Linked DNA regions of Arabidopsis thaliana. The protein of the gene in region 1 interacts with the protein of each later gene in a pairwise test. Each region holds a gene or a part of one and is shown in the gene's direction. Other genes may lie near its edges.

Region 1 (8,292 bases):
CTTGTAGCACACATTTTGGCACTCAAAAAAGTATTTTTAGATGTTTGTTTTGCTTCTTTGAAGTAGTTTCTCTTTGCAAAATTCCTCTTTTTTTAGAGTGATTTGGATGATTCAAGACTTCTCGGTACTGCAAAGTTCTTCCGCCTGATTAATTATCCATTTTACCTTTGTCGTAGATATTAGGTAATCTGTAAGTCAACTCATATACAACTCATAATTTAAAATAAAATTATGATCGACACACGTTTACACATAAAATCTGTAAATCAACTCATATACCCGTTATTCCCACAATCATATGCTTTCTAAAAGCAAAAGTATATGTCAACAATTGGTTATAAATTATTAGAAGTTTTCCACTTATGACTTAAGAACTTGTGAAGCAGAAAGTGGCAACACCCCCCACCTCCCCCCCCCCCCCCCACCCCCCAAATTGAGAAGTCAATTTTATATAATTTAATCAAATAAATAAGTTTATGGTTAAGAGTTTTTTACTCTCTTTATTTTTCTTTTTCTTTTTGAGACATACTGAAAAAAGTTGTAATTATTAATGATAGTTCTGTGATTCCTCCATGAATCACATCTGCTTGATTTTTCTTTCATAAATTTATAAGTAATACATTCTTATAAAATGGTCAGAGAAACACCAAAGATCCCGAGATTTCTTCTCACTTACTTTTTTTCTATCTATCTAGATTATATAAATGAGATGTTGAATTAGAGGAACCTTTGATTCAATGATCATAGAAAAATTAGGTAAAGAGTCAGTGTCGTTATGTTATGGAAGATGTGAATGAAGTTTGACTTCTCATTGTATATGAGTAAAATCTTTTCTTACAAGGGAAGTCCCCAATTGGTCAACATGTGAAAGCACGTGTCATGTTCTTACTTTTGTTTGGGTAATCTTCTAATTACTGTATATGGAAGATGTGAATGAAGTTTTGGTCCTGAATGTGGCCAAGGTTCCGTCATTTGGAGATACGAAATCAAATCTCCTTTAAGATTTTGTTTTTATAATGTGTTCTTCCATCCACATCTATCTCCATATGATATGGACCATATCATACATCATCATTTGTCCAAATGCATGAATGAATTTGGAAATAGGTACGAGAATGCCAACAATGACAAGAAGGGATCAAAGACAGTTTTTAAAACAATATTTTACAGGGTTTTAATCTAATTCTAAGTTTTGGTCACTCACTTTGTTAAAAGAATAATTCAGTGTCTGGACACTAAAATCTTCCAAAAACCCCATATACATATATGCTATTTCGATACTTATATTTATTTACTCAGCATAAAAAATATTAACCATGTATTCATAGTAAAATGTTTCATGTGATATCAAACCAGCGACAACAAAAGTATTATTCCCCTCATTATGTTTGACTCCTATTATATTTTTATTTTAATTTTTTTCACTATCATCTTTCTTGCAATGAAAGTCCCATATATTGGTCAACATTTCAAACCACTTGTTCTCTTTTATGTTTTGGTAAGAGCTATCTTCTAAATTTATAATACGCATAAATTCAAAAGTAAAAGAAAATTTTGGTCATGAATGTTGTTTAAGTCATTTGGAGATACGAAATCAAATCTCCTTGTAGATTTTGTTTTTAGAATGTCGTTCCTTTTTCATCATCTTAGCTATATCTACAGCTATATATCCTATCTTTAAACCTATATTATTTTTTCCTCTCTTCACCAAAGCCATGTTTTTTAGTTGTGGCGAAAAATAAGAAATCCATACATCAACATATCGCTTTCGTTACCTTAAATTTTGGCTTGTTATGAAGGCATGTCATAACGTTTCTAGTCACAACTCACAAGCATACCAACGACCATGATAAATCCAAAAAGTAGAAACAATCTATTATCTAAACCCCCAAAAGACAAAAGAAAAAAGTAGAAAGAAAAGGTAGGCAGAGATATAATGCTGGTTTTATTTGTTTGTTAAAAGATATTGCTATTTCTGCCAATATTAAAACTTCACTTAGGAAGACTTGAACCTACCACACGTTAGTGACTAATGAGAGCCACTAGATAATTGCATGCATCCCACACTAGTACTAATTTTCTAGGGATATTAGAGTTTTCTAATCACCTACTTCCTACTATGTGTATGTTATCTACTGGCGTGGATGCTTTTAAAGATGTTACGTTATTATTTTGTTCGGTTTGGAAAACGGCTCAATCGTTATGAGTTCGTAAGACACATACATTGTTCCATGATAAAATGCAACCCCACGAACCATTTGCGACAAGCAAAACAACATGGTCAAAATTAAAAGCTAACAATTAGCCAGCGATTCAAAAAGTCAACCTTCTAGATGGATTTAACAACATATCGATAGGATTCAAGATTAAAAATAAGCACACTCTTATTAATGTTAAAAAACGAATGAGATGAAAATATTTGGCGTGTTCACACACATAATCTAGAAGACAGATTCGAGTTGCTCTCCTTTGTTTTGCTTTGGGAGGGACCCATTATTACCGCCCAGCAGCTTCCCAGCCTTCCTTTATAAGGCTTAATTTATATTTATTTAAATTTTATATGTTCTTCTATTATAATACTAAAAGGGGAATACAAATTTCTACAGAGGATGATATTCAATCCACGGTTCACCCAAACCGATTTTATAAAATTTATTATTAAATCTTTTTTAATTGTTAAATTGGTTTAAATCTGAACTCTGTTTACTTACATTGATTAAAATTCTAAACCATCATAAGTAAAAAATAATATGATTAAGACTAATAAATCTTAATAGTTAATACTACTCGGTTTACTACATGAAATTTCATACCATCAATTGTTTTAATAATCTTTAAAATTGTTAGGACCGGTAAAACCATACCAATTAAACCGGAGATCCATATTAATTTAATTAAGAAAATAAAAATAAAAGGAATAAATTGTCTTATTTAAACGCTGACTTCACTGTCTTCCTCCCTCCAAATTATTAGATATACCAAACCAGAGAAAACAAATACATAATCGGAGAAATACAGATTACAGAGAGCGAGAGAGATCGACGGCGAAGCTCTTTACCCGGAAACCATTGAAATCGGACGGTTTAGTGAAAATGGAGGATCAAGTTGGGTTTGGGTTCCGTCCGAACGACGAGGAGCTCGTTGGTCACTATCTCCGTAACAAAATCGAAGGAAACACTAGCCGCGACGTTGAAGTAGCCATCAGCGAGGTCAACATCTGTAGCTACGATCCTTGGAACTTGCGCTGTAAGTTCCGAATTTTCTGAATTTCATTTGCAAGTAATCGATTTAGGTTTTTGATTTTAGGGTTTTTTTTTGTTTTGAACAGTCCAGTCAAAGTACAAATCGAGAGATGCTATGTGGTACTTCTTCTCTCGTAGAGAAAACAACAAAGGGAATCGACAGAGCAGGACAACGGTTTCTGGTAAATGGAAGCTTACCGGAGAATCTGTTGAGGTCAAGGACCAGTGGGGATTTTGTAGTGAGGGCTTTCGTGGTAAGATTGGTCATAAAAGGGTTTTGGTGTTCCTCGATGGAAGATACCCTGACAAAACCAAATCTGATTGGGTTATCCACGAGTTCCACTACGACCTCTTACCAGAACATCAGGTTTTCTTCTATTCATATATATATATATATATATATGTGGATATATATATATGTGGTTTCTGCTGATTCATAGTTAGAATTTGAGTTATGCAAATTAGAAACTATGTAATGTAACTCTATTTAGGTTCAGCAGCTATTTTAGGCTTAGCTTACTCTCACCAATGTTTTATACTGATGAACTTATGTGCTTACCTCCGGAAATTTTACAGAGGACATATGTCATCTGCAGACTTGAGTACAAGGGTGATGATGCGGACATTCTATCTGCTTATGCAATAGATCCCACTCCCGCTTTTGTCCCCAATATGACTAGTAGTGCAGGTTCTGTGGTGAGTCTTTCTCCATATACACTTAGCTTTGAGTAGGCAGATCAAAAAAGAGCTTGTGTCTACTGATTTGATGTTTTCCTAAACTGTTGATTCGTTTCAGGTCAACCAATCACGTCAACGAAATTCAGGATCTTACAACACTTACTCTGAGTATGATTCAGCAAATCATGGCCAGCAGTTTAATGAAAACTCTAACATTATGCAGCAGCAACCACTTCAAGGATCATTCAACCCTCTCCTTGAGTATGATTTTGCAAATCACGGCGGTCAGTGGCTGAGTGACTATATCGACCTGCAACAGCAAGTTCCTTACTTGGCACCTTATGAAAATGAGTCGGAGATGATTTGGAAGCATGTGATTGAAGAAAATTTTGAGTTTTTGGTAGATGAAAGGACATCTATGCAACAGCATTACAGTGATCACCGGCCCAAAAAACCTGTGTCTGGGGTTTTGCCTGATGATAGCAGTGATACTGAAACTGGATCAATGGTAAGCTTTTTTTACTCATATATAATCACAACCTATATCGCTTCTATATCTCACACGCTGAATTTTGGCTTTTAACAGATTTTCGAAGACACTTCGAGCTCCACTGATAGTGTTGGTAGTTCAGATGAACCGGGCCATACTCGTATAGATGATATTCCATCATTGAACATTATTGAGCCTTTGCACAATTATAAGGCACAAGAGCAACCAAAGCAGCAGAGCAAAGAAAAGGTTTAACACTCTCACTGAGAAACATGACTTTGATACGAAATCTGAATCAACATTTCATCAAAAAGATTTAGTCAAATGACCTCTAAATTATGAGCTATGGGTCTGCTTTCAGGTGATAAGTTCGCAGAAAAGCGAATGCGAGTGGAAAATGGCTGAAGACTCGATCAAGATACCTCCATCCACCAACACGGTGAAGCAGAGCTGGATTGTTTTGGAGAATGCACAGTGGAACTATCTCAAGAACATGATCATTGGTGTCTTGTTGTTCATCTCCGTCATTAGTTGGATCATTCTTGTTGGTTAAGAGGTCAAATCGGATTCTTGCTCAAAATTTGTATTTCTTAGAATGTGTGTTTTTTTTTGTTTTTTTTTCTTTGCTCTGTTTTCTCGCTCCGGAAAAGTTTGAAGTTATATTTTATTAGTATGTAAAGAAGAGAAAAAGGGGGAAAGAAGAGAGAAGAAAAATGCAGAAAATCATATATATGAATTGGAAAAAAGTATATGTAATAATAATTAGTGCATCGTTTTGTGGTGTAGTTTATATAAATAAAGTGATATATAGTCTTGTATAAGAAAGGGATTTTACATGAGACCCAAATATGAGTAAAGGGTGTTGGCTCAAAGATTCATTTAGCAACCAAAGTTGCATTTGCAAGGAAATGAAAAGGTGTTAACAATGTCACTGCGTAACATGACTTCGATACAAAATCTCAAACAATACATCTTCAACTGTGGATTATGATGGACTTGGGGTTGCAGGTGATATGTCTATAGAAAAACGGGTGGGAATGGAAAATGGCTGAAGAAGAAAGCTCCAACTAAGCATCATAACTGGATTGTTTTAGAGGAGATGAGTCAAAGGAATTCACAGTGGAACTATCTCAAGAACATGATCATTGGCTTCTTATTGTTCATCTCCATCATTGGCTGGATCATTCTGGTTCAAGAGGTCAAATTATATATACATAACGGATCTAAGAAGTATAGTGTAGTCAATTAAAACAAAACGAGACTTGAAAATAAGCATAAGTATTATTAAGTTAACCCAATATTCGTTTCAATGCTTTAGTTATCATCAGAATTCTCAACATTTTCAGATATTTAACTTGCCTTTGGTTGCTTTCTCGCCATGGTAGTAGCATTCTCCGGATAAGAATCAAGGGGAGCCTCAACTTCGGCTTCAACCGTCTCCTCGTCTTTCCTATGACATTCACTTGGTGTTGCAACAATGTGTTGATGCCCCACATTCATAGGAGAGTCCCACATATCTCCAACATTCATAGGAGGGTTCCACATATGCCCACCATTCCAAGGAGGGTACCACCACATATGCCCAGCATTCCAAGAAAGATGGAGCGACGATATCGTGAGGAACAAGGTTTTTGTAGGGCAAATAATTGTAGGTGGTTGAGTTATATCCGCCCGCACAGAGTAACAGACCAACAATTAACTTTTGATATTTTAGTAAGGTCTAATTCAATTTTTGGTGGCGATAATATTTGGCTTAGTCATAAAATACAGTATGGTATAATAATGTAAAGGTTTCTCTTATCTTCAAACCAAAAGACTATACTGGAAGCTGATGGGATCATACGATTCTGAAAAAATAAGACATATATTGCAACAGAGATCCAATTTGTATCAAAAATATTGTCGGCTCAAAAATCTGACCCACCAAGAATCTAATCAAGTGCGCGATTAAGCATACGGCTATGCATCTGGTCATTGTTGATTCAGTCATCACTGGTTTAAAGACAAACTTGCATTGTGAGATTCCAAAATAACAACAACAAAAAACAATTTGCATTGAGAACATTTTGAAGGTCTGACCTTTAAGAGCCATGGAGTTTGATGTTAAGAGAAGTATATCGACAAAAAAAATCACTGACATTGGGAATTCCCATACCTGTAATAACAAAGATTCTCTATTTTTGAGCAAAGAGACATAACACCATGTTTAATCAATACAAGAAACTTTAGTGCATGATTTATGGAATGCTTAAGAAGTTTGGAACTTCAATATTAGGAATTAAGTGAGAGGTAAAGCTACAACATACCAACATCGCAAGCAGAAATATCTTGAAGTAACTAGAGATGAATATCCCCAACATAATCTCTCTTCTTCTGCAAAGTTTTTAAAAAAAATTATACATAAACAATCTTCAGGTGACAGAAGTCTGAGATCTTTGATGAAAAACTCATAATAAGAACTAAGAAGAAGAAGAATCAGTAATCACCTGGAAACTTCATTTAGCAAACCCTTAGTCGCAATGGCAAAAGAGATGATAAATGCAGCGTTTGCAGATAAGACACCAATCAGAACCTGTTTCAAATGCGAAATTATTACCCTTTCTAAACAATCTCAATGACTTAAATCATTTAAACCTTAAAGGAAAAAAAATCTAATTAAGTCCATTAAAAAGAAACGATCTAACCTTTATAGATAGAAGAACAGGGCTATCAGAAAAGCTCGATTCTTCATCACTTTTTCTCAGTAGCAAGCTTCTATCTATGATGAGTTCAGGGCTTTTCAAATAAGTTTGCCGATGAATCTCACCAACTACACATCTGCTAGCTACACTTTGATAGTAAAAGATTATAAAACAAAAGGATACAACAGTCTAGAAGAAGATAGGCGAAGACCAACTTCCACAACAGATGCTGCACACACACACACAAAAAAAAAAAAAGAACCCAACAATTCTTATTGGATCAGAGACTACTCAATATCCCCAAACTTGGAAATTAGTTTGTTGCTTGAGGTCTAAGATACTTCTATATATGGAAAAAGATTTTCAAAGCCAGATATTTCCACAAGTTTGTAATATCAATTCAAGATAAGAGAGCTAGAATCAGACAGGAACTAGCAATGCTTGAAATCAAGAACTTGAATTGAAATAGTTTTTTACCTGAATATTGACAGTTGCTGGATTAATTGCATTGTAGAGGACGTGTCTATATACCTTTGGTCTGTGAAGGATTAAATCGATGAAAATAATCTGCCAAAGAAAACAATTAAAGAACCAAAAACCAAAATTGGAAAGAAATAGGGAAACACCCAAAAAGGGAAAGAAAGTGATTAAAACAGACCATGCGTTCACACTCGATGTACTCATCTGCTACTTCCTTGCAATTTCCCTAAATATAACAATATGATCAAAGATGGAAACTTTGAAGAAATTTAATAGAGAATCTTATAAACCCTAATTGGGTCAAAGAAGATCCATTAATACAAAAATCTTACGCATTTCATGAGACGAATGTTACCCGGAGAGTATTGAATGAACAATGACTTTACCCTAAAACCACATCCCACGCATCTGTGTTCACTCGCCGCCATTGCTCTCTCTCTCTCTCTCTCTCTCTCTCTCTCAAGAGAAGAAGAATACGGAGCAATTAGAGTCCGGGTCTGGGCTACTGTTTTAACCCTAAATGGGCTTATTCATGGGCCAAGTTTTTGAAGTCTTAACTTTAAATTTGTTAGGCCCACTTTTGCTCTAAGCCGGGGTATTTGTACCCCAAAATTTAAAAATCATATACACGTTGTAATTTATAAATAGTTCAATTTGGATCAAAATCTTGTCCATATGACATAGCATTTTAAAATGCGTAGGTTCATGAATGAAACATATT
Region 2 (6,483 bases), 4.2 Mb from region 1:
CCTCTGCTCTGGCTTCCTCGTGCTTCAAGTCCAATCTCGTGGTGGCGAAATCTCTCTTGGAGATGATTGGTAAACCAACTTGTGTTAAAAAAGCTCGAAACTTTGGATGCTCAAGACCCGAGAGAGAAACAGAGCCGCAGGACTCGAAGACCCAATCAGAGAGAGAATCTAAAGCTGACTCTATCTGCGATCTGGTAAGAGACTGAGTCTGCGACGGTTTAGGACTCTTAAGCTTCTTCACACTGTCTTCAAGCATAGCTAAAGGACCCAAGTCATCTTTTCCACCGGAGAGCATCAAATGCTGCGGCGGCGGAGGAGTTGAATAATGCAACTCTCCGCCGCAGAATCTAGAAGGATCAACAACGGTTATCGGCGTGACGTGATAAGAGCCTCCGATGGGAGGAGGGTTAAGCCGAGAAGGAATCGCGGTGGTGACAGCGCCGGAGGAGTTACGTTTCCGGTGATGAGTTTGAGGAGAGGAAGAGGAAGAGGTAGGAGAAGGAGTGATGGTGGAAATGGGAGTAACAGAGTTGAAATTAGGACACGTGCCGCGTTTGAGATGCTCAGAGGCAGTGCGTGAAGGATTAGAGGCGGAGAAAACGGCGTCGCATAAAGAACAACGAAGCTTCACGGCTTTAGGGAGACCAGTGTCGGTGTTGCGTACGAGGATTGGTTCAAGATGAGTCCAATACCACGCGCCTTTACCTTTCACTGCTTTTGTTCTCACCGTCATTAAACCTTCGTATCTCTTGTTTAATGCTTTTGCTGTTAGCTCGTCTGTTGTTAACCCATCCATCGCCGGAGGAGCAGGAGCTGGAGGAGGAGGAGGTGGTGGTGGTGGTGTCTGTTGAGTCGCCGTGTGAGCGTTAGTCGTCGCCATCAAGAAAGAAAAAAAGTTTCTAAATCGGAAATTTCGAGGCTCTTGCTAAAAGGGTTTTAAGCGAGAGTTGGATTTTACGTGTGACATTCTTCAGCAGTAGGATTTCGCCGGAAGACGACGATCTTTAACGTCGCTGCCATTTTCCGGCGATCAGAAGAAATGAAATTTTTACTCACTTCTTTAGTTTTTTTTCTTTCTAGTGAGCTCTTGTTCTTGACTGTGAATGGTTTTTTCGAAGAAAGAGACAGAGCGGAGAAGAAGAGGAGAGAAATATGGAAGAAAGAGAGAGAGTTACAGAGGAGGTTGAAGCACACGCGCATGGAGGTGAAAGAAGAGAGTCCCACGTCGTACGAGAACACAAACGTTACATTGGCTCGTAGTCTATCTCGCTTTCTCATCATTGGAGCGTTTTAGTCACGCGCTTTAAGTTGGTTTTGGGGGATTGTTTTTGTTATGTGTGTTTTTTTTCTTTCAACTTTTGTTTCTTTTTTTCTTTCGAAAATCTCTTTTCTTGTCTCCTACTTTAATATTTAAAAGAAAAAAAAATTGGAACTATTTGGGACCTTAATTTAATGCATTTTATTTAGATTTTTTCTCTTCTTAATCTTTATAAATGTTTTTCTTGTGCTATACAGTTTCAACCACCAATGGTAATGTACTTTCGTAACTTCAGTTGAACGGATAAAAAAACAAAATTGGGATCTTGAGAATTTTGAAGGCTCTAAGTTTTGGTAAAAAAAGAATTATTAACATAGGCTGAGTTTTTAAAAAAATCTAAATGATTAATTCGGTTTATAGAATCCTTATTGTGAATTTAGTTAGAGATTATGTGAACGTTGAAGACACTTTTTGAACATTTTTTTTGGATTTGATTACAAAAATGAAAAAAATGGGTGAGTGGGATTTCCATTTGTGTCCTATTGTCTACGTGGGATGAGTTCAGAATTTGGGCATAAAAGGGTAGAGTGAGAATTTAATTTTTGTTTCTAGATAGACAATGAAAGACATTAACGCAGAGACTGTGTTGTGTTGACCATTTTCTGTTGACTCATAAAGTACATTTCTTTGTAAATATTTTTTTTTGGTTTGTGTTGAAAGTTGTTTATTTTTGACTGCAACCTTTTACAACTTCCATTTTTTTACCGACACTTTTGGTTCCTACTAATTCCAACCATTTTTTTACTTTTTGTTAATCTCAATAGCAATTTTGCTTTCATTTGCTTTGTATGAATGTTCATGAATCATGTGTGTCTTGGCCGTCGTTAGAAGTTTGAAGTCATGATTCATGAATAACAACATCCTTTGTACTCTTCACAACTTCTACCTCTTTTTAGTTAAAAGTAAAAACCCAAAAAAACATGAACACACACTAAATAAAATTATGACTGAGGACCAATATTTACCTAAATAAAATTACTGGCCAATGGACACATTTAGCTAAATACCAACCAATCTGTAGCAGTCCAACAAAGTACACATGCTTTTCACTCATAGCCAAAAACTTAGAATTTTACTTTAGTATGTCGTTGATCTATGAATAATTTAATACAACCTATAAAACCATATCAATGCGAACAAACTCATACTAATGAATATTAAAAACACATTTTCTTGATCAACTATTCCAGCTAATTAACCACAACAAAGACTATTTCTTATGTGTCACACACACACATACACACACACACACATAAGTCTTTCTATATTTTACCCTTGATTTTCTACTCTTATTCCAATGCAAAAAGTGTCTTGAACTTGAACTTGTAAATCTCTCTTAGTAAAACGTATAATTAAAGTTATAAGTGGAGGTTAGTAGGAGTCAAGTTTTAATTGGTCAATATCTAATGTCATAAAATCCATGTCACAACTGTCTCCCACCTTCTAATGTAGAAGTATCATGTATGCATGCTTATATGTATGAATGATCAATGAATTCTAAAGTCTAATATACAAAATCCACCCATAACTGTATCTATATAATAAAAAGGCAGAAAATTAATTTCTTACCACATAATTTAGAGCAGTCCTATCTTAAAAAGATGGATAGTACTATCTATAAGAATGATCTTGTCTGTTACATACCAACCACCCAAAAACCATGGATTATGCCCTCTAATTTTATTTTTTGATAAACGACGTTTGCAATATAGTGATGAGAACTATTAATAACATCACTTTGTCATACGTTTTATTAACTTAAGGTGTCTACAATGTAAACAATGTAACAATATATCAAAGTAACTTCTTACGTTAATCTCCACTTAAATAAAATAATGCTGATTTTGTGAATGAAATTTGAAAATAAAATGTTTAGAATTGATATATACTTTTTTGCATGATACTTTTCATACGTGGAATGAGATTTCAAGATTGGTCCCTAAATGCATATATTAACTAAAAATAAGTAACTGTTGACAGAAAATAGGTATGTTATAAATTTGAATCTTCATTTTCCAGTTAGTGAAAACGAAGAGCCAATCCTTTCAGTTAAAAAAATACTGATATTGATTATTACTGTATCAAACGTAAATTGCTTGATTTACAATCTTGTACGAGAACTTCTTTTCCCAACCACTCCACTATATCGTGTTATACCCGAAATAAATATATATATACCATGTAAGAAATAATAATAGTTGAAATAAAAATAATGCCACCTTTTACATTGATAGCGATAGTAATTATTTGATTATTGAACTTGGATGGATTTAGTTACTAACATAGCTTCTTTATTTTACAACTTAATTGAACCACACTAGAGAGGCCAGAATCTATAATTAGTGAGGAAAATCCGACTAAGCTAAACCATATTACAATTCCAAAATGCTATCCTTCATAATCTCAATCTCTTAATCCTTGCAATTATAAGTTATGGATTCACCGTTCTTGAGAAAAGAAAGAAAGAAAAATACATGGAAAAGATGAAGCTTGTTTTTCTTCGTACTAGAAAACAGCTGGCTTTTCTCAATCACATGATTGAATGGTTTCTGGTACCATTTTTGTTTTTAATTTTTCATTTTTGATTTCCTTAAAACTATACAATAAGACAATGACCTAAAAAAAATTATACACGACTCAACAAAAATTACACGGCTCTCGTGCCCAAACCCAAACTGTTTACTATTTAATTGGGCTAAATCTATAGAGGCCCAATGGCTTATAAATCATAGATTCATAATACTGAAATATTAAACCGGCGTAAATGGTACGTACTTCGGGAAATAACGAATTCGATTTTAACCGGAAACTGAACCGGAAGCTGAGTCTCGTGCCTGCCTTCTCTAGGCTTCTTTGTTTCCGATCAGAATCTCGAGCTCAACTGTCAAAACTAGCCGACCACTAAGTCGTTGTCCTAACTTTCTCTCTGTTCCTCATCGAACATTATTGGGAGGAGAGAGAGAGAGAGAGAAGACCAAGAAACAACGAGGATAGATCCGAGGAAATTGTCGGAACCAAAAGGAGGAAGATGGGAGATATCTGGACATGGCTTATTTCCTTCTTCTTCCTCATCGCTCTTGTCGGAATCATCGTCTATCAGGTGCGATTCCCAATTTCTAGGATAAATAAACCCAAAGTTCTTAACTTTTCTATCGGAATTTGCCAATTTTTTCGCTTACGGTTATAATGATACCATATTTGTCCATTTTGATTCATTTGGAGCCTTTTTTTTGTTTCTGGGTAGTCTGTGATTTAGCTAGAATTAGGGTTTTATGTTCTTGTCACATGTTTGGAAGAAGTAAAGGTGTAATTTTTGGGAATGTTATCATCAAAGGAGTAAATTCAGGAACATATATAGTGCGTATTGGCTTCTCAAAACACTTTTATAGGTTCATAGTTAGTTCTTATGTTGGATGTTCATGTCAGGTCTGAGGATTTACCTCCTTAAGCACAGGTTGTTCTTTTATAAATGAGCTCCATTTCGGCATAATGAAGTGAACCCTTTAGTTTTGTTTGTGTAGACTCTAATGAGAGGAGTCACTGAGACTGATAAGCTAGCAAACGGAATCTTCCATGTATAAACAGCTTGGGAAGACATTTTCTAGGAAGCTAACTTCTCTTTTCTGAATTTGAATTCTTTCATTTGCAGCTTGTTTGCTTAGCGGATCTCGAGTTTGATTACATCAACCCTTACGACTCTGCGTCGAGAATAAACTCAGTGGTTTTACCGGAGTTCATTGTTCAAGGAGTTCTATGCGTATTCTACCTCCTAACAGGACACTGGTTCATGACACTCTTATGTCTCCCCTATCTATACTACAACTTCCATCTGTAAGTCCAACTAATCTCAATCTTTTGCTCCAATCAAATGTTGTGGTATTGATATCCTTTCGGTTTCTCCGTTGTTCAGTTACTCGAAGCGACAACACTTAGTAGATGTCACCGAGATCTTCAATTTGCTTAACTGGGAAAAGAAGAAACGGCTGTTCAAGCTTGCTTACATTGTCCTTAACCTCTTTCTCACTATCTTCTGGTAACGAGAAAGATATTTCGAATCCCATTATTGCTTAACCATAAGTAGATCAAGAGAGCTAAAACACTTTCTGTTTGCAACTTTTTTTCGTAGGATGATTTATTCGGCGCTGGATGATTACGAGGACTGACTAATGAAGAAGACATGGTCCATCTTCTTCGGTTTATTGACACTACGCTTAAAGATACAGCGACATGCTTGTGGACATGAAAAAAAGCAAGGAAAAGTGTTTGCTTTGTGATGTTTGTAAGATTAGTGGCAGGAAGATTTGTGTATTTATTTCTTTCTTAGAAACATGTTCAGATTAACTGTTTTTTTTATGTCTTGATCATTATTTGTACAAGCAATCAAGCTCGTAAACTACTGGTTACAGTAACAATGAAACTGAATAATTTCAAATATAAGAAGAAAAAAAGTTAATTCATGTGAACTTTGACTTTTAAAAGTGAGAAACCCTTTTGAGTGATGTAATAAACGATAACTTAAAAGATGATCCGAACCTTCTGTTTCAGTTTTGTAATTAGGTTATCTTATAAAGCTAATCCTTCTCTCCTTTACTGTGACAATAATCGTCGTTATCAAGGTGATTTCTTTCTCTGCCTCAAACATCGCTTACCCTCTTGATTGATTCCTCCAATCTTCTTCGTGTGGTTTCACAGGTGTGTGGTTGATCTCTAGACCAAATTGATCTGGTTTCATCCTATTTCTATTTGGTCTGTAATCGTTAAAGTCTTAAGATTTGGGAATCGAGTTTATGTTGTGGTGTTTAGGTAGCGAAACCCCAGTTATGTAATCGTTGCATCTAGTAATTTGGGGTCCTTGAATTGAAACAAAGGATTAATCTTTCATTCATCTATGTTCTGAGTTATCGAGGATGTTCTTGGGTCATCTTTTGATGAAAATTGAGCTCAGATTATTCGTGTTTTGTATTACAGGTTTTACTTATGGTTAATGCAATCAAAGGAGTGTTCGTCTCTTGGTACTTCTTACCGTTGTTACGATTCCTAAGCAAATCTTGATGAACACAATTGAATCATTCATTGTTTCTTTGTATCTTTTGTTTGTTTGCAGCGATATTCCGATGACACAATTCATAGTGAACATGAACAATTCGATGCCTCCGTCTCAGAAA
Region 3 (6,253 bases), on another chromosome or scaffold:
ACATACATATATGTAAAAAATCTAAGTCTTTGATTTTAGGTTCGATACAATGTCAATAAAGTTTTGTCTTTTTTGTCTGACCCATCTTTTTCTAGTTGATGTTGATGTTAAAATCAATGGTCGTTAATGCCTGTTCGATCAGATTTTTTTCTAACTCCGAATCATCAAGTGGGTATATAATGAGCCCGTAAAAATCACTCCTTTTCGATTAAAAGATGGGATTTTTCGTGATGATTAGAGATGTTTCCATGGGATTTATGCTCCTATGTATTTCTGCTTTGTGGGTTTTGCCAATACAAGGTGCTGGTAGAGAAAGTTTCTCAAGAAACTCTTCTTCTTCTTCTCTGCCAAGCTCTGTAAACGTTGGAGCTCTGTTTACTTATGATTCTTTCATTGGAAGAGCGGCCAAACTTGCGTTTGTGGCGGCCATTGAAGACATTAATGCTGACCAGAGTATCCTCAGGGGCACCAAGCTTAATATTGTCTTCCAGGACACTAATTGCAGTGGATTTGTTGGCACCATGGGAGGTACTTTTCGTAAACTGCAATTTGAATTATGTCTGAAAAGTTGCTTGTGAAAATGCCCCAACGAAGCTGGGGTTTAATAGTAATGAGGTTATTCAAATTGCAGAGCTTGTCTTGTTCATAAACCTCTTGTTAAAATCTTCGTTTTGCGCATGGATTGCTTTTTCTGAATGAGGAAGTAGATTGGTGATATGTTTTCTTATGGTGTAGCTTTGCAGCTAATGGAGAACAAGGTGGTTGCAGCCATTGGTCCACAATCTTCAGGAATTGGTCACATAATCTCCCATGTAGCTAATGAGCTTCATGTACCTTTCTTGTCATTTGCAGCAACGGACCCGACTCTTTCTTCGCTTCAATACCCTTATTTCCTTCGTACCACACAGAATGATTACTTCCAGATGAATGCAATCACGGATTTTGTATCCTATTTTCGATGGAGAGAAGTTGTTGCGATCTTTGTGGATGATGAGTATGGTAGGAATGGAATATCTGTATTAGGTGATGCTTTAGCCAAGAAACGTGCCAAGATCTCTTACAAGGCTGCATTTCCACCTGGTGCAGATAATAGCTCAATCAGTGATTTATTGGCTTCTGTTAATCTGATGGAATCTCGCATCTTTGTTGTTCATGTGAATCCTGATTCGGGTTTAAACATATTCTCTGTCGCCAAATCTCTTGGAATGATGGGAAGTGGCTATGTCTGGATCACTACTGATTGGCTTCTTACAGCTTTGGATTCCATGGAACCGTTGGATCCCAGAGCTTTGGATCTCTTGCAAGGAGTGGTTGCATTTCGTCATTACACACCTGAGAGTGACAACAAGAGACAGTTTAAAGGAAGATGGAAAAACCTTAGATTCAAGGAGAGTCTAAAAAGTGATGATGGCTTCAATTCTTACGCGCTGTATGCTTACGATTCTGTTTGGTTGGTAGCTCGCGCTCTCGATGTTTTCTTCAGCCAAGGCAATACAGTGACTTTCTCTAATGATCCAAGTCTGAGGAATACCAACGATAGCGGCATTAAGCTATCAAAACTTCACATTTTCAATGAAGGGGAGAGGTTCTTGCAGGTCATTCTTGAGATGAATTATACAGGTCTGACTGGACAAATCGAGTTTAATTCAGAGAAAAACCGGATTAATCCAGCCTACGACATTCTGAACATAAAAAGTACAGGTCCACTGAGAGTTGGATACTGGTCGAATCATACAGGTTTCTCAGTCGCGCCTCCAGAGACATTATACTCTAAGCCTTCAAACACATCTGCAAAAGACCAACGTCTTAATGAGATCATATGGCCAGGGGAAGTAATAAAGCCACCTCGGGGTTGGGTTTTCCCTGAAAATGGAAAGCCGCTGAAAATCGGGGTGCCTAACCGTGTAAGCTACAAAAACTATGCTTCTAAGGACAAGAACCCGCTTGGTGTTAAAGGCTTTTGCATCGACATCTTTGAAGCTGCGATTCAATTGCTTCCATATCCCGTTCCACGTACTTATATACTATATGGGGACGGGAAGAAAAATCCTTCATATGACAATCTCATAAGTGAAGTTGCTGCAAATGTGAGTCCTACTTCTTCTTCTATTTTACTCAATCAATTACACGAAACAGTATACTTATGTTTTGTTCTATTTATGTCTCTAGATTTTCGATGTAGCTGTTGGGGATGTTACCATCATTACAAACAGAACCAAGTTTGTAGATTTCACGCAGCCATTTATAGAATCAGGGCTTGTGGTGGTAGCTCCAGTGAAGGGGGCCAAGTCTAGTCCTTGGTCCTTCTTGAAGCCATTCACTATAGAGATGTGGGCTGTGACCGGTGCCCTTTTTCTCTTTGTTGGAGCCGTCATCTGGATTCTTGAACATCGATTTAACGAAGAATTCCGCGGACCTCCTAGGCGTCAAATCATTACAGTCTTCTGGTTAGTTCCATACAATTATTGAATCGACACAAAACTCATATGTATTAGTTTAAGCTCAAGTGCTAAAGCTTTGCTTTACCCCCTTCCTTTCTCGTCTTCAATATTGCAGGTTTAGCTTCTCAACAATGTTCTTCTCTCACAGTATGCACACAATTACATTTAAGATCATACGAAAACATCAAAGAGAAGAAACTCTCGGTTCTTTTCTTTTGTTACCAAGGTCGCAAGGTGTTTTATTCTTCTTCCTTTGTTGATCTTCAGGGGAGAATACGGTGAGCACGTTGGGAAGGTTTGTGCTACTCGTATGGTTATTTGTGGTTCTAATCATCAACTCAAGCTACACAGCCAGTCTCACTTCAATCCTCACCGTTCAACAGCTAACATCTCGGATAGAAGGAATGGACACTTTAATAGCAAGCAACGAACCCATTGGAGTCCAAGATGGTACCTTTGCGTGGAAATTTCTGGTCAATGAACTTAACATAGCTCCATCAAGAATCATTCCGCTTAAAGACGAAGAAGAATATCTCTCTGCTCTTCAACGTGGTCCCAGAGGCGGTGGCGTGGCAGCCATTGTCGACGAGCTTCCTTACATTAAAGCTCTCTTGTCAAACAGCAACTGCAAGTTTCGAACAGTTGGACAGGAATTCACTCGGACAGGCTGGGGATTTGTATGTGAAAACCAACTTCAATTTTTTAAGATCAGTCTCTGTTAAAACTTTGCTTAATGGATCTCGATTCTTGCAGGCGTTCCAGAGAGACTCTCCTCTAGCTGTGGACATGTCGACAGCGATCCTGCAACTGGCTGAAGAAGGAAAACTCGAGAAAATCCGCAAGAAATGGCTTACCTACGACCACGAATGTACAATGCAGATTTCAGATACAGAAAACTATCAAATATCGGTACAGAGTTTCTGGGGACTCTTCCTAATATGTGGCGTCGTTTGGTTCATTGCACTCACACTCTTCTGCTGGAAAGTTTTCTGGCAATACCAACGGTTAAGACCAGAAGAGAGTGATGAAGTACAGGCGAGGAGCGAGGAGGCTGGTTCTTCTAGAGGGAAAAGTTTGAGAGCAGTGAGTTTCAAGGATTTGATCAAAGTTGTTGATAAGAGAGAAGCAGAGATTAAGGAGATGCTTAAGGAGAAGAGCAGTAAGAAACTCAAAGATGGCCAAAGTTCAGCTGAGAATTCGCAGTCGAAAGATCACGAAACTCCACAGTGAGATATATAATAACGAGTTACACAATTTGTTTAATGACTGCAGATATAACATTACACTTAGAAAGGTACATAGATTTATTACATAGATAGAGATAAAAATGCAAAACAATTTCCCTACCATCTTGCAAGACGAACAAGTGAACTGAGTCATGGTTTCAATACCAAGTAGTCTCAACATTTTAAAAGATCTAAAACGTAACACTAAGAAATGTACCTTGCTAAAGAATTTGCTTAAGGCAATGCAAGGTTGTAACTTGCAAGTGTGTTTACGAATATGATTCCTCCAAGGCGTGAGAGATAAGGAATTTTGAAATGATCATGTCTTTAGACTCCCTGAAAAATAAAAAATAAAACATCTGCAAATTCAAGAGTCGAAAGTTATTAGAACCGTAGAGTTCACATTTTTCTAGACTATGTAGAGGATGTGAAACTTATTCAAATGTTTAGAACTTAAGATTTTGTAACAGATCATGGGCTCTCTTAATTAGTGTAGTCCTTCGGGTGACTATTTTTTCTGGATACTATATACATCCTCCGAGGAAGATTATGGGCCTAAGGCCCGGTAGTGTTCGAATTTACCACTGAATCAAACCGGAAAAATGGTAGCCGTTTAAACCGGTTCGCTTTAATTTAGATTTGGCCAATTATTAAGTAGCCGGCTCTTCGTTTCCGCGGTCAACGACAGATTAAAGCAGAGAGAAAAACAAAATCCATTGAAGAAGGAGAAGAAGAAAAAAAATGGGAGCATTTTGCAAGTTGATCGATGCGGTTCTCTTCTTATACTTTGCTCTCATGGCGGTAATTGCGCCGCTTATCGACGGTCAAACGAGTCTTCCCGGCGATATCTTCCCGGCGTTTATCGTCGATCTGAATCGCTGGTACATTGATGAATTTGGAGATTATCTAGTCAAAGAGAAGCCGCATTTCCTAGTCGGACTCGTCTGGCATGAGCTTTTGCTTCTTTGGCCGCTCTCAATCGTCAACGTCTACGCAATTCTCGCTGGGAAATCGTGGTTTGGTACCACCTCAATGGTGTACGGAGCTTCCGTCGTGACTTCTATGGTACATTTAGATCTTAATCTCGCTGTTTCTGATCAATTTGGATATAACGTGTTTGATTTAGAGTAAGATTTTGTTGATTTATGGATCTGAAATCTGAGATTAATGAAGATTATAGGAGAAATGATTATTGGTGATCAATGTTAAAGTCTGTGAAACTGGACCATTACAAAGTATGAACTAGGAGCAGACTAGTGAAATTTGTATAATGCTTGATTCAAGATTTCATTTGGTTCCCTAAAATCACAACATTGTATGTTGATGAGGGAGAGAGATTTTGAGTTTCTACTATGTTGAATGACTAGTTTCATGGTTATTAGAATTAGTAACGTTATCGAACTTATACTTATTGTTCTGCAATGTGAATCTTTCCGCATTCATTGCTAATATGCCTTGTGATGAAGAATCTGATATTGAGTATTCATTACTTATTAGGCTGCTATACTGGGAGAGATGATAGGATCAGGGAAGGCATCTGAGAAATTGTTGATGATGTATGTGCCATTCATGGGTGTTGGTATTCTAGCTCTTCTTCGTGGTCTTCTTTCTCAATCCAACAAAAGTGGTGGAGCTGTTGGCAAGAGACCTGCTATTTTGGCCAGGAGAAAGCGTGCTTGAGGTACACTTGATGATCAGCAAGTGTATCTTTTGACTCTGAGAATTTCTGCTATAGGTGGATTTGGCTTTTCAAACAGAAAATTTTGAACCTTTGTGATGTATTCTTCCTGTTTTTTTAGCAATATCATGTCATCTGTGTTCTTGTTTGAAATTAAATGAAGTTAAACTGAAAATATTTTACAGTTCACTTCACCAAAAGGTCTACATTGTTGGGTCTTGACAAATCACACGTTGTGATTCCCATTCCCAAAAGGTCTACATGTTCAGCACAGATTTCTTAGTCTTGTTGGGTTTGGTCAATCTAAAACCATAGGCAACGCGCAACAGCCAAAAACTCTTTAAGCTCTCTTGCAAAACAGAGAGTCTTGGGAAGAAAAGGTGTGAAGTTTTGATAAACCAAACTACAGAAATAGACAACAAAAACAATACAAAAGAAATATCCATACTCTAGAAGAAGATCTAAAGTCAATAGAAAGAAAACAAAAAACAAATTTGAAACTCAAATAGAGAAAAAGAGTACTCAATAACTTCATAAAGGTTTCCAAGTCCAACAATGACAAGGAAACAAACAGACTCAACTGAAACAACGAAAGGTTCCATGTCCAACAATGACAAGGAAACAAACAGACTCAACTGAAATAACAAAAGGTTTCCAAGTCCAACAATGACAAGGAAACCAAAGACTCGAATGAAATAACAAAAGGTTCCAAGTCCAACAATGACAAGGAAACCAAAGACTCAACTGAAATAGCAAAAGGTTCCAAGTCCAAACAATGACAAGGAAACAAAAGACTCAAATGAAAGGAAAAGATAGTTGTTTTTTCCATCTTGAATGGGTTTATTCCAGGGCTAGTCAAATCCCGAACCTCGTAAAAAACCAATCTCCTTGAGGTTCGTTCTTGACTC

What was found. Proteins that work in one complex are often made in the same cells at the same time.
Region 2: the proteins of NAC001 (region 1) and AT1G12390 interact in a two-hybrid assay, tested with the Arabidopsis thaliana proteins (one large-scale study listed by BioGRID).
Region 3: the proteins of NAC001 (region 1) and AT2G32380 interact in a two-hybrid assay, tested with the Arabidopsis thaliana proteins (one large-scale study listed by BioGRID).

Annotation. Positions count from the first base shown.
Region 1 is NC_003070.9:668-8,959, forward strand, and holds NAC001 (NAC domain containing protein 1), read left to right. Parts: upstream 1-2,963; 5' UTR 2,964-3,092; coding exon 3,093-3,246; intron 3,247-3,328; coding exon 3,329-3,609; intron 3,610-3,818; coding exon 3,819-3,938; intron 3,939-4,038; coding exon 4,039-4,428; intron 4,429-4,506; coding exon 4,507-4,659; intron 4,660-4,771; coding exon 4,772-4,963; 3' UTR 4,964-5,232; downstream 5,233-8,292. Other genes in the region: ARV1 family protein, read right to left, coding at 6,248-6,402, 6,490-6,565, 6,717-6,783, 6,897-6,982, 7,095-7,168, 7,275-7,320, 7,569-7,658, 7,750-7,797 and 1 more.
Region 2 is NC_003070.9:4,216,001-4,222,483, forward strand, and holds AT1G12390 (Cornichon family protein), read left to right. Parts: upstream 1-4,043; 5' UTR 4,044-4,346; coding exon 4,347-4,418; intron 4,419-4,967; coding exon 4,968-5,149; intron 5,150-5,228; coding exon 5,229-5,351; intron 5,352-5,444; coding exon 5,445-5,481; 3' UTR 5,482-5,803; downstream 5,804-6,483. Other genes in the region: AT1G12380 (uncharacterized protein), read right to left, coding at 1-880; AT1G12400 (Nucleotide excision repair, TFIIH, subunit TTDA), read left to right, coding at 6,370-6,483.
Region 3 is NC_003071.7:13,745,886-13,752,138, reverse strand, and holds AT2G32380 (Transmembrane protein 97, Putative), read left to right. Parts: upstream 1-4,328; 5' UTR 4,329-4,408; coding exon 4,409-4,732; intron 4,733-5,164; coding exon 5,165-5,347; 3' UTR 5,348-5,573; downstream 5,574-6,253. Other genes in the region: GLR3.5 (glutamate receptor 3.5), read left to right, coding at 216-528, 736-2,087, 2,170-2,447, 2,557-2,588, 2,709-3,118, 3,195-3,671.